Struthio camelus: one gene and its partner. The main gene of each other region encodes a partner of the protein of the gene in region 2 in a complex. Links are inferred from orthologs where the notes say so. Each region holds a gene or a part of one and is shown on either strand. Other genes may lie near its edges.

The links. Proteins that work in one complex are often made in the same cells at the same time.
Region 1: CNOT10 (region 2) and CNOT6 share a complex: the UniProt entries of both Homo sapiens proteins name them as parts of the CCR4-NOT complex. The link is inferred for Struthio camelus from reciprocal best matches to the Homo sapiens genes CNOT10 and CNOT6.

The regions. Positions count from the first base shown.
Region 1 is NC_090954.1:6,505,537-6,513,360, reverse strand, and holds the start of CNOT6 (CCR4-NOT transcription complex subunit 6), read right to left. Parts: upstream 3,029-7,824; 5' UTR 2,995-3,028; coding exon 2,949-2,994; intron 1,574-2,948; exon of another isoform or gene 885-1,573; intron 1-884. UniProt on the Homo sapiens protein: Poly(A) nuclease with 3'-5' RNase activity.
Region 2 is NC_090943.1:47,701,622-47,709,532, reverse strand, and holds the start of CNOT10 (CCR4-NOT transcription complex subunit 10), read right to left. Parts: upstream 3,008-7,911; 5' UTR 2,718-3,007; coding exon 2,696-2,717; intron 2,542-2,695; exon of another isoform or gene 2,268-2,541; intron 1,564-2,267; exon of another isoform or gene 1,416-1,563; intron 1,257-1,415; exon of another isoform or gene 1,042-1,256; intron 1-1,041. UniProt on the Homo sapiens protein: Component of the CCR4-NOT complex which is one of the major cellular mRNA deadenylases and is linked to various cellular processes including bulk mRNA degradation, miRNA-mediated repression, translational repression during translational initiation and general transcription regulation.

The sequences.
Region 1 (7,824 bases), on a different chromosome or scaffold from region 2:
TTCATGGTTTAAGATCTCAATACACAGATAAAAAAAACCAAGGCACATTGTATGCCACAGGGCAAGAGTCAACCTCTCTCTCGTGTAGCTAGGACTAGAAACGAAATGTAGGGTCTGCAGAGATTGCTCTTCTGGGATTTTAAGGTCTGTGTTACTTTTCCAAGCTCATACATAATTATTACCTCTGGGCACTGTACATTTCTCCTAGCAAAAGTAATATCGGGTTAACTATCAATTCTTGTAAAATATGCAACTAGATTCTAAAGACTAAAAGTATATTTCATTCATGAAAATACCGTCTAGGTACACCCTTCACTTAAATTAGCCCCCTTTGGACCAGGGACGGTGTGTTACAAACTGCACATACACACACGTTCAGCCACAATTACATGACAGAACAAGAGAAAAATTTGAATTTCAATAGTCTGCTGGTAAACAGAAGAAGTAGGCCTACAGCCTCTGCAGCAGGGGCTACGCAACCGGAACGAGGAATTCAGGTTCACCACCTGGCCTCCTAGGCACGCTGGTAATCCATATAATAAGCTACATTGCACTACAAACAAAAACACTTAGCTTTTTGGCATTCCTACTGATAGAATACAGCCCATTTTTATTTTCGCTGCCATGCTTTATAAAAGGGATGCTTTTGTTGTTGAGTTGGGAAAGAATTTTTAGTTTGTTCACCCTTGGGAGCATCTACCCCTTTTCAAGGATAGCCTCTTCCATTATGAACACTGCACTTGTTTAGAAGAGCAAGTCTTCCTAATATCCAGAACAGCCTGACCTTAACATTTTTTATTTCTACGGGTACCACACTCATTCGATTTGTGACCCTTTGTGACATGTTTTTAAGTCTTCATATGTAAAACGTCAAGAGTATTTACCTGCCCATGCAGTATTACAGTCTCATCTATCTTTATATTTCAGTTCTTCCTCTAAAATTCAAGCACAGTAAACAGCCTGAACACATCAAGACTGCGCTCAGAGTTCAACTTCAATATGCAAACAGAAAAGAGATGCATGGTAGTATCCTTTTAATAAAATGGACCGATCCAAGCGATTCAGGTGCAAAGTGAATAAAGAGTTAATCCAAACGTGAAGGGCTCCATTTCAGTAATAGCATGAATAAACCCCCACAGAAGGCTTCTTTGCTAGCAGCAAACTCCACAGAGTCCAGATGAACCAGCAGGAAGAACAGAGGGTGGATAATCCTGTAAAATTACCCCAGTGGAAATGTTGATAAATTCCCAATTACGAGACCTGCTCTAGAATGAAGAAAAAAAAAAAGTGCAAGATACAAAACAATTACCAGTCAACACTTGTATATCCTCATATTTAAGCCAGACAAATGCCACAGCTATTTCTGAATCCCTTGTATTTTGAATTAGTTACCCATCGTGGCAAAATCTAGACTGAGAAAATAACCCTCAAAAAAAAAAAAAAAAAGAACCCAAACCCAGAAGACTTGCTAGTCGCAAAGCAAACGCCTGCCTATGCGCTTATATTTCCAGTAATGCAATTCTTTGTGCATCTGCAGAAATACAGATGTTTATTAAAAAAATACAACCCTGTTTTACTGTGTCTGCTCTGAATGCATTTCTTACACTGCAAAAAGCAAAGTAAGCTTTGTATGACTCTTTAACATTCGTGGAAAAGCTCCTGGTGAACCGTGTCTGCAACACAGAGGCACAGAAATGCAGTTTTTAAAAGTCTTGTATGGCCCCAGACTTAACATTTTCTATGACAGGGTAAAGGGGGGGAAGGCAGCCCCGGCAGAGGGACCCCGGGAACTCCTACCGCATTGCTTCACGCTCCGAGAGCGCAGGCAGCACAAAAAGCCTCACATTCAGCTCAGATTTTTTTAGACTGCCGGACAGGTGCACGGGGACTAACGAACGCAGTAAAAATTCCTCCCCTAATTAGCTCAATTAAAGAATAATGGCCTCTTCAAGAGCGCTGCAGCCCGACGCGTTTGGATACCTCCCACGGCTGCCAGCGGACGCCCCCCTTCCCGCGGCGCCGCGGACAAACAAGCCCCTTTTGGGGCCGCTGTCCCAATTCCCCTCTGTTTACCCCTGCATGCGTCTGTCCCCCGGCCTCACGTGGCCGCGCAAGTCCCGCCCCCCGCCTGCCCTCATTGGCCGGCCGCGCCGTCCGTCACGCCCCCCCCCCCCCAACCTCGGCCGTCTTCCCCTTCGCCGAGCGCTGCCAGGGCCGCTCCGGCCTCCCCGCCGCCAGCTAGGCCGCTGCCCGCCGCCGCCAGCCAGCGCCGGCCCCAGCCGCGCCCCGAGCAGCGCCGGGCACCGCCGCGGCTGAGACCCATCGGTCCCTCTCGGGAAGGGGGAAACTGCGCTCGGAGCGCAGACGGGCGATTGTCACATTGATGTCATTCCCCCCCCCCCCCAACACACACCTTTCTCCCTGTCTTTGTTTAATTATTTTAAACTCAACTGCACAGTTTAAAAAAAAAAAACAAAACTTCACGCTTCCAGATGTCATTAGGCTAATTCCTCTTAATTGCCTTCCCCGGGCCGATACGCCCGGCAGCTTCCCCGCTTCCCCTGCGCCCTGCACGCTCACCCGCCACATCGGTGTTTACCTGCCCGCCACCGCCGGTTGGCGGCGGGACCCCCCGCCCCGCACGGGGGCCCGGCCCGGCCCTGCCCGCGGCGGCAGCAGCAGCCGCCCCCGGCGGAGGCAGCGCGCTGCCGCCAGCGCCGCCCGCGGCCGCGCAGCCCCTTCCCCCAGCGCCGCGCCGCACCCCCGCCGGGCCCGCGGCCCCTTCCCCCAGCGCCGCGCCGGGAGGGGCCTGCGCGGCCGCAACGGCCCCGGCCCACGGCGCTGACACCCCCCTCAGCCCGGTGGTGGGGGTGGGGGGGGAACCTCCCCCTACCAACTAACTCCCACCGCCCCCTCCAAACTCCGAGGAGGTCCAACCCCCGCCCTACCTCCACCCCCGGCAGCCCCCGCCGGGCAGCGCTCCCCGCTCGCCATAACAGCGCTCCTCCCTTCCCCCACCAGCGGCCGTGCCCCCCCCCGCCCCCCGGCCCGGCATTAATACTCCTCCCCGCCACAGCGCCCCCCGCCCCGAGGCCGCGGGGGCGGCCCCTACCTGTGGCTGCAGCATCCCCGTCGCCCCGCCGCCCTCTCTCCGCCGCCTGCCTGGCTCTTTGTTTCCTGCCGCGGGCCGGACGGCAGAGCAGCCCCCCCCCGCCTCCTCCTCGCACTCATTGAAAGCAAACAAGCATCATGGCGGTGCTGCTGCTGGTGGTGGTTGTGGTGGTGGCGGTAGCGGCGGCGGCGGCGGCGGGCGGGCCGGCCCTGCCTCCTCCGGCCCTGCCTCCCTCCGCCCCGCCCGCCGCCGCCGCCGCCCACAGCCCGCGCCATTGGCCGCGCCGGGCCCCGCCGCCGCCGCCGGCGCCGCCGCGCAGGGCCCGGGCCGCGGCGGGGGGGAGCGAGATGGCGGAGTCGGCGTTGGAGCCCCGGCGGCGGGGAGACCGGGCGGGCTGGCAAATGGAGGGTGGGGGGAAACCAGCAGCGGGGGTGGCCGCAGCCGCGTTTGGGGGAGATCCGGGCAGAAACGGGGGTGCTGGGGGGGGGGGAAGCGTGTCTGGCCCCGCAGAGGCGCCCTCCGCGCGGGCCCGCGCCGGGCCGGGGGAGGCGGGAGAGGAACGTTTCCTCTATGTTTCAAATATTAGGCCGGTGTGAAGGGTGTAAAGCAGTGAAACAGCTTCTAGCGCAAGTCCAGGAAGCCTAATTAAAATAATCGTGTATTTTAACAACTTCAAATTCCTCTGCGTGTAGATAAGAATCACTAAGAACCCGAACGTGCAGTATGCGTGCTCAGACAAAATGTGCTTTTTATGAAGGGCGATGTCTTTTATATGTGAGTGTCTTCAATAACAAAATAGTGCCCTGGATCGTTTGCTGCTGACGTTTGCATGGGCGATGTTTACGGTAAAATGGCAACCAGAGTCACCATCGGCACCCTGTGTGAAATGCAGGTTAGGTCTCCTTAATTTCGTGTTTGAACCAGTTAGTGGAGGTATACCGAGATATTTGGAAAAATAAAGGACGTTGTTGTTAGGTGTTGTTATTACCGCCACTGTGCCAAAAGATTTTACCGTAAGACAAGAGATGCGAAGGTAAGAGATGTGGGGAACAAAGAATCAGTGAAATCAAAAAATCAGTGGGGTAGCATTGGCCAAAATTGCAAATAATGGTCTCAAAATGGAGTGGATTTCCCTTGATTATCATAAAGTTAAAACGTCCAAGCGATGTTGAGACAGAAAATTGCTAGCGCGCTCAACGTGCCCCATCTAGTCAAGAGGGATAGTAAGCAAAAAACGTTATCACAGAAATGCAACCTATTTCTGAAATAGGAAGGCTAAAAAGAACTGAAGCTTCATCTGTTTAGGTATAACTGGGTATGTAAGTGAAAATAAACGGCACTTACATAGTTGTGGAACAGGCCATTCTCTTCTAATCTAGTTGAAAAATGGAGACTACCTCATCTTGCTCCTGCGCAGCACCGACAATGGCCAGCAAAAGAAGCACTTTGCAAAGAATGACCCCACGCGGTGTACCAGGCGTGGTCATAAAATGGACGCAGCTGAAAAGTTTACTCCCTTGGTGCTTTAAATAACATGCTATACCTCAGATTTCTGCCCAGCCTGCTCAGGTCACGTATCTGAAATTCTCGGATGTTGAAATGTCTCCATGCTGCATGATGCAGTAGGGTTTTGAAGACATCTGAGCTGGCTCCGTTACTGGACGTAGCGCCTGTTCTGGCAGAAGTGCTGGATCTGCTTCCAGGGCTGAAGCTGGCTCCTGTAGAGCTGACAGTCGTTTAGAGCTAGCTCAAGTAGCTCTATGTGTCATTCTCTTTTACTATATATGTTTTATTTCTGATAACCAGCTGTCACCCACATTCTTCAGTTAATACTTTCTAGGTCAGATATGGCCTCAATCGACTATATCATTTTGCCTAGAGTTAATTCTCCAAAAGCAGTAGTAAAGTCTTTGAATGCATTGCAGAATTTTCCAGGAATTGCTTCTCAACAAAGAACACTCAGCTGATCGTAAGTCTTTCAAAATTTGCAGGGAAAATTCATTCCTTGGGGATGGGTACTGGGATAATATTACAGTAGACTTGGAAAGGTCTACCGGCAAGGGCCTTCATCATTGCAAATGGAGACCAAATGGCAGAAAATACTAGTAATTCTCAAGTAATTGAGATAAGCAAAAAAGAGAGCATCAGAGGAAATCATTTAAGAGCGCTCACAAAATAATTCTGTAGTATTGTCTATTATATAAATCAACAGGTGATCACAGCAATTGGGCAAATTGACTTTCTGGTAACTTTAGAGGTTATTTATAAAAAAGCAGCAATATTTGAAGAGTCTAAAGTTATGGCCTTTTATGTCAATAAGTTTTGTTTGAACAGTCAATTTGATTATGTGATTTGAAAAAAAAACAGAATGAAGTAAAAACACGCATGTGGTTTTTTTAGAAACCGTTATGCTACAGTGAATTTCCTGTGCAGAAGCACTGTTGCTCATCTGTGCATACAATTAACTTTTGCTTCACGTTAAGTGTCATCAGAACTGTAACCAGGCAAACACTGCAGCAGATGGCTAGTGCCAGTATTAGTGTTTCTGGTCTGGGTGCTTAATGAGATCTGAGAGTGTAATACGAGCCTCTTTCATTTTGTCTGTCTCACATGGCAGATATACTTTATGCAAGCGCTCTTGTTGCTCAAGGTCACAGATTCATCAATCAAAAGAGAGCCATTCCCATTAATCTTTTACCTGCCCGTGAGAGTTTCCATACATCTCAGGAGCTGCAGTGTCACATGGAGCGTGCTTGTCCTGAGCTCAGGCCAGTACTGTTGTTAAAGAGAGTCAAATGAGTGCAGAAAAGTTAAATTCAAAATAGTCTGAGCTTAAGTTTTCATTCATAAATTAAATAGTACATAAATACATGTTTGTGCTGTGGAATGGGAGTCTTTGAGCGGCCGCCTTTAGGCCAAACCTAGCTTGTGGCACACAAGCAAGTGTCCCACTAGACAAAGGTGTATGTCCTACAGTCTTTCTGATCTTACACCTGGAGCTATAAGCATTTGCTGTGACCTAGCTCAAAAACTGCTAGCAGCCCACTCTCTCTGTCATCTTCCCTCCTCATGCATTTATTCAAGGTAGGAGCTGGGGAGTGTGGAGGAGAGGGGGGTGGGGAAGGTAATTGTCCACGTTGCAAATAATTACAGCTGTTTTGAGAACCTATTGCCTCTATGCATTGACAGAGGGATGTGAAACTTGTGGTAAAGAATTGCCTTTGTGGCAGAGTTATGGTACGTTTTGCTTTTGCCCTTGTTTAAATGGCCAAATTTGGTAAAGTTAGAATCATTTGAAATACAGACTTGCTTGACTCAGTAAAGACTTGCTTGACTTCTAAATTCTTTGAAGTAAAAGACAGAGTCCTTCATCCTTTGTGACTCATATGGGATGAGCGAACGCAGGAGGCATCTCCCCATCCTGAAAGAAAACAAGCTCAGAGCTGTCCTGGCTTGGGAAAGCTCTTACGGTTTTGGTTACGGAAGAGGTGAACAAGGAGACTTTCTGTGCTGGCTGCACTCCCACTTTGTGTCTGGGAAATGTGAAGACAGAGGAGCAGAGTAACTGCAATGTACGGGGATGAGAAATGGAGCAGAGAAGAAAGAGAGCAGCATTGCAGTGAAGCAGGATGGATAATGAGGAGGAAGGAAGGGAGTGAATGAAGCAGGTGAGGGATCCCAGACAGGAGGGCAGAGATCACTTAAAGCCTGATCTTCTACATTTTCAGTATATCCAGGTAGAGAGACCAGGGTCTGACTTGCAGAGAAGCTTCCAAGGCAGTGGAGATCAGTGGGATCACTGCTCTGGACATGGGACGTTGCTGCAAACACAGATACTCTGAAAAATTAGGTCTTGGGGCGCTCACATCGGACATCTAGAATCACTGCACGCTTCATGATTTCAGCCTTTAGTTTTATGGCCTGTTCTCCATTTATCAAGTGAACATAATAGCATCTGTTGTCATAGTGGGATGGTAAAGATTAATCTTTGATGTTTATTGAGCATTAAAAGTATAGGAAAGCCCCATACAAAAAGCATTGAGGAGATTAATATTCCTGGTTTCCTCTGGACAGAATGGAGTGAGGCGGCTTCCAGAAGACTTGTGTGTGAAAAGATAATTGAAAACTGCCCTTACGCATATTCACAGTAGAGCTGAATTAAAGAATTTGAATCCTGGGATGCCATAGTTTGTAGGTACTTAGCTTTGCAACCCTAGCATTACTTTATTACATATGTTTGTATTTATACAAAAGTTGCCTAAATACTTAAGAAGAAATTGAACATGACAAAAAGCTTTCAGCTATTTCTTTCTAGAAATATCTGCTTTTAATATTAAGACATCCGTAATAAGAGAGGGATTTCTAACTCCTTTTTGTCAGTTAGGGATACTAATGCTGAGCTCTACCACCACCCAAGATATTTGTATACTGTGTTTAAATGACTGGTATAATTACTTAGATATTTGATTCATTATCAGGACTATAGCAGTTTAAAATGCATGTTGAATCTTATTCTCTTCCTTAAGCTTGCAGGACTAGAGGAACATTTAGTCGTTAACATTTTCTAGTGTGTCCATTTGGGTTATACTGCAGTAGTAAAGCAATAGATCTAAAAAATCCCATGGTTCTTACTCATCCCAATCAACTGTTAACATCTGAACACATTTACGAAGCTGACTTGGAATTGTTAACCATACTGTTGCTTTCCTGAT
Region 2 (7,911 bases):
ACACAGCGAGTTGAATAATGCTGAAGATGTCATTGACAGCTACTTGTCACATCACTATAAGCACTTTCACAAACCTGTTATAGTGCCATGAAAACCCACATAAGTAATTATGGTATGCAAGTTCACAAAACAGGCATCTCAAAGAAACTGGGCTTATGAAAGTCTGATTCCCGAAGCAAAGCGCCTTTTCTTCAATTAAGAGAAAGTTAGGTCAAAGAGACTGCAAGCTAGTTGTCTAAGAAAAGCACTCCTGAATATCTGCTTTACACCTATTTCCTAGGAAAGAACACAACAGGTCTACAAATAGATTTCACTATACCTCTTAAGTCTCCTAGTATGAAATTGGAGACTATTTTAAGCAAAAACAGGCCTTCCCTTTCTCCCATAAGGTTAGTTTTATGGCTCCAAACTGATCGACTTCCTCTAATCTACTGTAATCCTCCCAAACTTGTTTAAACCAGGATCTATTGCTTTGGTTGATCTTAATTATTGAGATACCTCACAAACAAGACATCTAAAGTAAGGCTGCCCCAGATACCAGAAAGAACCCTCCAATCCCACTTATAAATTTAGGAGAAAAAGTACTCTTATTATCCTGACTGCAAACGTCTATCAACTGCTTGCAAATAATTATGTCAATACTTCCGGAGGCGTTTGAAAACGAAAGTACATGGTTCACTGGCAAAACATACAGCATGCTACTTAGATCTAGTGATCTTTGGCGTTCTTGTAGAAGCACGTGGTCCGTGAGGTACAAGGCATGCTAGTCATTATCAACATGCTCCTATTTGTAGAGCAGCTACAAATGTCAGCCGAACTATTTGAAACAGTGTAGATTCTCTGTTTTACAAACGACAGGACACAATTTATCTATGCAAACTTTATCTACACGTGGAGCTGTTTTGTTTGTTTTTACACTTTTCACGTTGTCTAACCTTCTCAAGTACAAAGCATCTCTAAAACTCATAGTTCTCAGACTAGTGGCGAGGAGCAGAAATGACATCCAGGAAAAGGGAAAGGATGTAAAAATTATCTGCTCACATTTTGATCTGGAGAAAGCTGCTGCACTGGGTTGGATGTAAAAGAAAGCAAGTCAGGAAACTATCTTCTTGGTTAGCAACCTGTATCACATGGGGCTGAGCAGCAGAAACACTGTGTCAGGGAGACATTTCTTTTTGCATCAGCAGGTAGTTGCTCCTCCTGGAGAAGTTGCACCAGGTGGACAGCAGAATCTGCTTTGTGGGGAACTCGTTCTACTAGAGGAGAACAAGGAAGAGCATGAGATTGCCACCTGCAAAGGGAGATTGTCCTCCTCTTTGGCCTGCTGACACAACATCATATAAGCAATGAGAAGTCACATCTCCCACATACACAGACCCAAAGGACAGTGACTGCAATCGTTATCCTTCTCCTACCTGTTATCTCCAAGGATTGCTGCTCTTGAGCCCTCTCGTTTCCAGGCCCTTTAAATTACACCTTGTATAAACTGTGCTGTTGAATGCCAGAGCATCTCTCGAATTATTTTATATTTCCAAACTCTAGAGGCAGGGGGATAATCTCCTCCTGGGAAAGAGAGGAATCTATCACAGGTGTCTCACTCCAACAACATTTTGATGGCTATGAAGAGCAGCCAAAGCATTCAGCCCTTCTAAGGAGACAACAACAGTTTGTGGCTCAGAAAGTACATTTTTCTATGAAGCATTGTGCTACTAATCTCAACATATTAGATTTAACACTGCACACTAAGAAGGAAACATTTTTCACTCAGAAGTTATTCATAACTCACTCTGCTATAGGCACATACATGCAGATATGCAGACTATCTAGCCAATGTGTTTGCTTCATTTGGACAAGTATTTTTCTTCTAACCTAGTACAACAGACAAGTTCCTGACTTCACCATTTCCAAGAAAGGGGAAATATATAATCTCCTAACGCCAAACTTTCCTGGTAGTTTATAATCACAGTGAGCTTCTTTTAAATAAATGCAGGACGGTTTAATACGCATCACTTAGCAAGGTACACTAATCTTTCCCACGGTGGTCTTCAGATACTGAGAGCAAGTGTGACACTTAGCATATTGAAAGACAATTTTCAGAGGCAATTCCAAGAAACGCTCCCACGGCAGAAGCCCAGCTGAAGGACTCGAGGACACAAGCAGATCCTTTTGGCTTTCCCTCACATTGCCCACTTCATCCCCACCCAGCCACCACCTGAGGGAAGGAACCTCGCAGCCAGGAGGGCTTCCTGCATCAAGCGCAGTCTTACGGGAGAGGAAGAGCAGTAGCTATCAGCGCCAGCAAGTCATACAGTAATTGTAAGTCTGGTTTATTGTGGTCGCCTTCTTCGAAATCGCCCCCCAACGCCGTCGGAAGGCCCCCGTTGAACAGACTAAGCCAGCCGCAACTTCTGTTGCGGTTACTCAGCCCCGGGGGAAGCCCCGTCCCCCCGCCGCCCTCGGGTTAGTAACCGCCGAGGCCTCGGGGCGCCGCCGCGACCCCGGCAGGCAGCCCCGCCGGCGGAGCAAGCCCGCCAGCCGGCCGCCCCGCCGCCGCCGCCGCCGCCCGCGCGCTACTTCCCTCGGCGGAAGGACACGGGGACGAGACGCCGCGGCCTTGGCCGCGTCTCCTTCCGCCCCGCGCGGCCCAGGTGCCCCGCGCGCGGAGCGGCCCGACGGCGGCTCGCCCCGCACTCACCCGCGGCCTTGTCCGCGGCCATCTCCGCCGCCTCCGAGCTCCGTCCGAGAGCGCTGGTGCGGGGCCGAGGCTCCCCCACCCCGTCCCAGCAGCACTAGCCGCGCTCGCGGACCACCCCCCCCTCCTCCCCCGGGACTACTTTTCCGCCGCGGACTCTCAGCGCCCCGCGCCGCGCCTCCGCCCCGCTAACTGCGCCACTCGCTCCCTATTCGCCCGCCGCTTCCGGGTTCCCGGCGGCCTCGCGACGTCCGCCCGTTGCTGGGGTTCGCGCCTCTGACGTCAGGACGCCGTGCAGCGCCCCGCCCCCACGCCGCGAGGGGAGGCCGCGGGGCGGGGTGGCGCATGCGCATCACGTCGCGGCACTCACTGCCACCCCCCCCCAACACACTCCCCCCCCCCCCCCCCGGCGCTGCCGGGCTGCGTCGGGGCGCCATGTTACGGCTGGCGGCCGTTGGGGGGTGACGGGGGCGCTCCAGGGACGGACGCGGGCCTGGAAAACAGCCCGGCCTGTTTCTTACCCCAGCGGGGCGGAGGGGGGCCCTGGCGGCCGTTGGGACCCGGCTCGGCCTCGCTAACGCGCCGTCTAACGGTCCCCGCAAGGCCCAAACGGGGGACGTCTCCTTGCGTTAGAGGGACAGCGTTTCAACAGGCTGCTTCGGTTTTGCAGCTGCTTTTTCCGCAGCCGTCCGTGGGTGTATTGGCTGCTGCGTCTTAAACCTCCCCCCCGCCCCCCGCCCTTGGTCTAGACATGTTAGGATCGTTTCCTGAGCAGCCAATCCCGATAACAGTGTAAGGCTTGGACTTTTCAAATGTCACTGATCTGGTATGAAGAAAAGATGTTCCTTATTAGGAAAGCAAAGTAATTTTTAAAAAAGTACCTGTTAATTCCCTTCCCGGCCTCTTCCTCAGCAGAGCGCCGTCCTTCAGAGTAAAATTTTTGAGATGCTGGGACGGAAACATACTACACGGCCCTCTAAAACTGAGGGTTTGGGTCTGAGCTCAAATACATCTGTTTTGAGAAGCGGTAGATCCTGTTCAACAACAGCAAACTACCTTGGAGGTAGAAGGCAAACCCCAACCCTGGCTGGTTTCCATGTAGATGATGGGGAGCACACTAAAGGGATTTTCCCCTCAGCATCCCAGCATGAAACTCCACTTTGATAATTCCCATTATTTACTTGTAACTCATGCTGCATTTTCATTCTTTTCCTAAAAGTGCATCAAATAACCAGATTTTCCTGAAATAATCTATCTTGACTTTCAGTTTGTCTTCGAATTAATCACTTCAAAATATTGACTACTTTATATGGTCTTATATGGATTATCAGCCTATCTTAAGTGTTGTTAAAGTGCTCATCACCATAGTAATTAAGGTAGATAAGGTGCCATTGTGTCTGCATCCTAAATTCCTTTGTAAACTGATGTTTGAGTACCAGTTTAATCCAGCCGGGAGTCTTCCCTCCCTCTACACCCCAGGGAAGCCTTGTTTCACACAATGAATCTGAAGTGTCCTTGAAATTCAGTGTGCTGTGCTGCAAAGTAACCCCCCCTCGGATTTAAAAGACTCCAATTAGCATTTTTTATTGTTACCATTATCTTTGTAATTAAAGTACGAGACATGGGATAAATGACGTTTGCAGCATCCAAAATAGTTATACAGATTTTTAAATATTTATTAATGAGTTGTGAATACTCTGTGTAGTATGTAAGCATTCATCTCTGCTAAGGTACATCTTTGTAAGCTCAGCAGTCATGTGTTGTCCTGCCTCTCAGGTAGGGCTGTCCTGTGGATAGGCCTAGGGGAACCGCTTCCACTTCTGAACCCCCACTATATACGTTCGTGGGAGCTGGGATGGGGTTAGGAAAACGGAGGGGGGGTGCTGTCTCAGGCACCAAAAGGCTCACTGTGTTTCTGTACCTAGGAGTCAAATTCCTGAGACACGGGGACAGCTAGCCTTAATTGCCCCTCTGTGAATGTCACTTTGCATCATTATGTTGTGTGCTTTCCCTGTGTCGCAGTGGGGTTCCTGAAAAACACTGCTTCAAATACTTTTCTCATTGGTTAATATGGGTATAATTTCCTGTATTTTTCCATATTATTTCTCCAGATGTAGCTCTCCAAGACCTCTCCCCCCCCTTCCCCAATTTTATTCCTGTTAAACATCTACTTGCATTTCTGTTTGGGACAGTCAGTGTGGATATACCTGATTCTGCTTAATATATTCTACCTTACATGGTTGTGACCCTGTTACCAGCTGGCAGCATTTGTCAAGAGACACCAGACTGTCTAAAACATACTGCACCTGTTGTATGTCTCTTGCACATTAGATTAAGGTTTGAGGATGAAGTTTGTCCTTGGAGAAGTCGATGGCAAAACTAGTTTAGTGGAAGAAGGATTTCTTTTTACCAGTCTGTTTGTCATAGGCATCCAGCTACTATACTATACTGTGGGGCAGAACAGAGAGGTGAGGTCTATAAGGAAAGTAACATTTTGTTTAACTAAGGGGTACAGTTGGAAAAAAACAGACGCACTTTAGGCAGGCCAGCACTGAATGCCTTGAACCATCATGGCTTTAACCATCTGAGTCCTTTACCATGAAAGATTTTGGAAACATTATTTCAGGAGTTTTGAAGAGCAGGGCAAAACATTTTTTATTTCATAACTGAAATTCTGAATATTTCAAATTTTGTTTGCTGGTTCTCTAATTTGTTGCATATCCTTTTGCAAGAAATAGTTGCTGGTCCAGGCCATTAGGTCATATTTGTACTAGAGAACATTTGCCAATAAAGTTGTAATAGCAAGTCTTTCTAATGTGTATATATTTACTAGTGTAAATATTTATTTATGCTGATATATTCTTGCTTGGTAAGCAATAGAACCTATAAAGTGAAAAGGACTTTTCTACTAGTATAGCTATATATTCCCTATGACTTTTATCAGTATAACAAAGTTGCCAGACGTCCACCCTTCCTGACGGAACAAAAATGTCTTATGTAGACCTGATGTGAACGTCTCCCTCTCTCAAGACTTTCGTATAGTATTTGTCCCCAGTGTCTAAACAGTAATCTGCATGTTCCAGAGTACGCTGTGCATGAATTTACTGCTCCCTGCTATAGCTTTTATTGATAGTTCTGTTAAAGCTCATTCAGCTTCAAGTATAGCAGCACTGATATACAGCTTCTCTTGGTGTCTACATCATGATATCTAGAGGAGAGTCACAAGAGTTTACTTTATCCATCACGCTGTGAATTTACTCTGGGGCCAGTTTACCTGAGAGGTAATTACGACAATCTTTGCTATAGCTTGCAGCATTGTTTCGGCAAGTTTTTGACTTTTGTTTCCAAAACCAAAGTATTTGTTCCATTTCTATGTCTCAGGCAAAATTATTTTTAATGCCTGGCCTCTTTTTTCAATATGATTTATTTAAAAAAAGAACACAGGACAAATAAAGCTAGGAGTTTTTTCTTCCTTTCTGATTAATGATTATTGAATTTAATGTTTATGTATGTGGAGGGTGCTGAAGGGCAGGGAAAAGACCCGTGCCCTTTATTAGCATTGCAGTTCAAGCATAGAGTCATGCAATCAAAGATTTTCTTGATATTTTTCCTTCAAAAATTAAATGTTCTGATAGCTTCGTTATCTTCCTGTAAAGGTAGGGGAGAGACGTCCTTTAATACATGCATGTATAATTTGCCTTCTGCCTGAGGTATATAGTAGCTCTTCTCGAGTGAGCAGGTAAAAATGATCTCTGGTCTCAGTGTGGCAGGTACGCCACCTGCTGTGGAAGATCCAGAATAAAATCAAATACCATTTGAGAGAGAAGAACGTTTTGTGTGAAACAAAACATTTCTCTTAAAACATGAGTTTTAGTTTTTCAGGAAAGAAATAATCCAGTTCAGGTTTTCAGTCCCAACACTCAGTTTGGAAAAACAAAAATGGTCCAGATTATTCTAGGTTTCTTTTGCCCATTTGTAGGCTACATCAAAGGGAGCCAATTGTAATTTGTAACGTGTAAGTGGAAAAAAAAAAAAGCAGTTTCAGGAGGAATAAATCCTATCTATTCGCAGGCAGAGGACAGTTCCAGAATCCCACTCCTCCTTCTTACAGTACCTTCCTTTAGCAAACTAGACTTAGTAGGCCTGCGTTTCCTCGCTGATTTTGGACTCACAAGGCAAATGACTTGTCAAGGCTCTTTTTTAAGTTCTTGTAGACCCAAAAATGGCAGGACAGCAATCCCCTACCCAGCCTATCAGTGGCAGATAACCTCTCCACTGCTGCGTATGAGAAAGATCTGGACTGTAGAGGAGAAAACCAGGGTTTCTGACATCCCGAGGCACTGCTGGGCTACAGAAGAGAAGGAAGACTATGACCTGCTGCAAAGGGAGCTGGGAAAGTTACAATGCTTTTGTCAGATACAACAGTATGGAAAACTCCGCTGAAGTTTACCCACTCTGTTTGCGTAGTAAATTCCAAAATGCAGATGGTTTAACACCACAAATTATCTCTGCTATTAATATGGCTTCCTATGCCTTGCTACTCAACATTTTCAAAGCTTTTAACCCCTAGGTGGCACTACGTAGTAAAGTAAGGCATATTTAAGTAATACAGTCCCCCCGCCACCCCCGCAGATGCACTTCTTATTTAAAATGTTAACTAGTGTGAATTTGAGCATGTTCAATGCAGCTATTAGTCTCAGCTCGATAATCCTTTTTCTCTGAATCTGTCTCTCAAAGTCGATAAAAATGGTGCCATGAATCTGATTTAAATATGGAATTTGTGCTTTCAGAATGCTGTGGAAGAGATTTTCCTGGAAAAGTATGGTGCATCATAACCCATTACAGTTTTTGTTCTGTCTATGAGCAACGAATAAAATAGCATAGGCTGTTTACTTTAGCTATTCATTTGGTGCAATAGGAGTAGATTGGTAGGTGTAAGCAGCTGGTGCTGTAGTTCCTCACATCTCCAGGATATTTGGCACACAGAAGTTATTTTGGATCAGGTAAGGACTGGCCAGTTGCCATGCACCTCCATTACACATTTTGAAACTCTCTGAAGTGAAGACATCCCACAAAACTTTACTTCTCAACTGTGGGGCTTCTAGGAATCAGCACGTTCCCCTTTCGTCTGTCCCATGCAGATATTTTGCACCAGTCTCAGTCATAAAAACTTCACGCATAAAAGCTTCTTTTTTTTCACTCCTGCAGTTTCCAAGTGA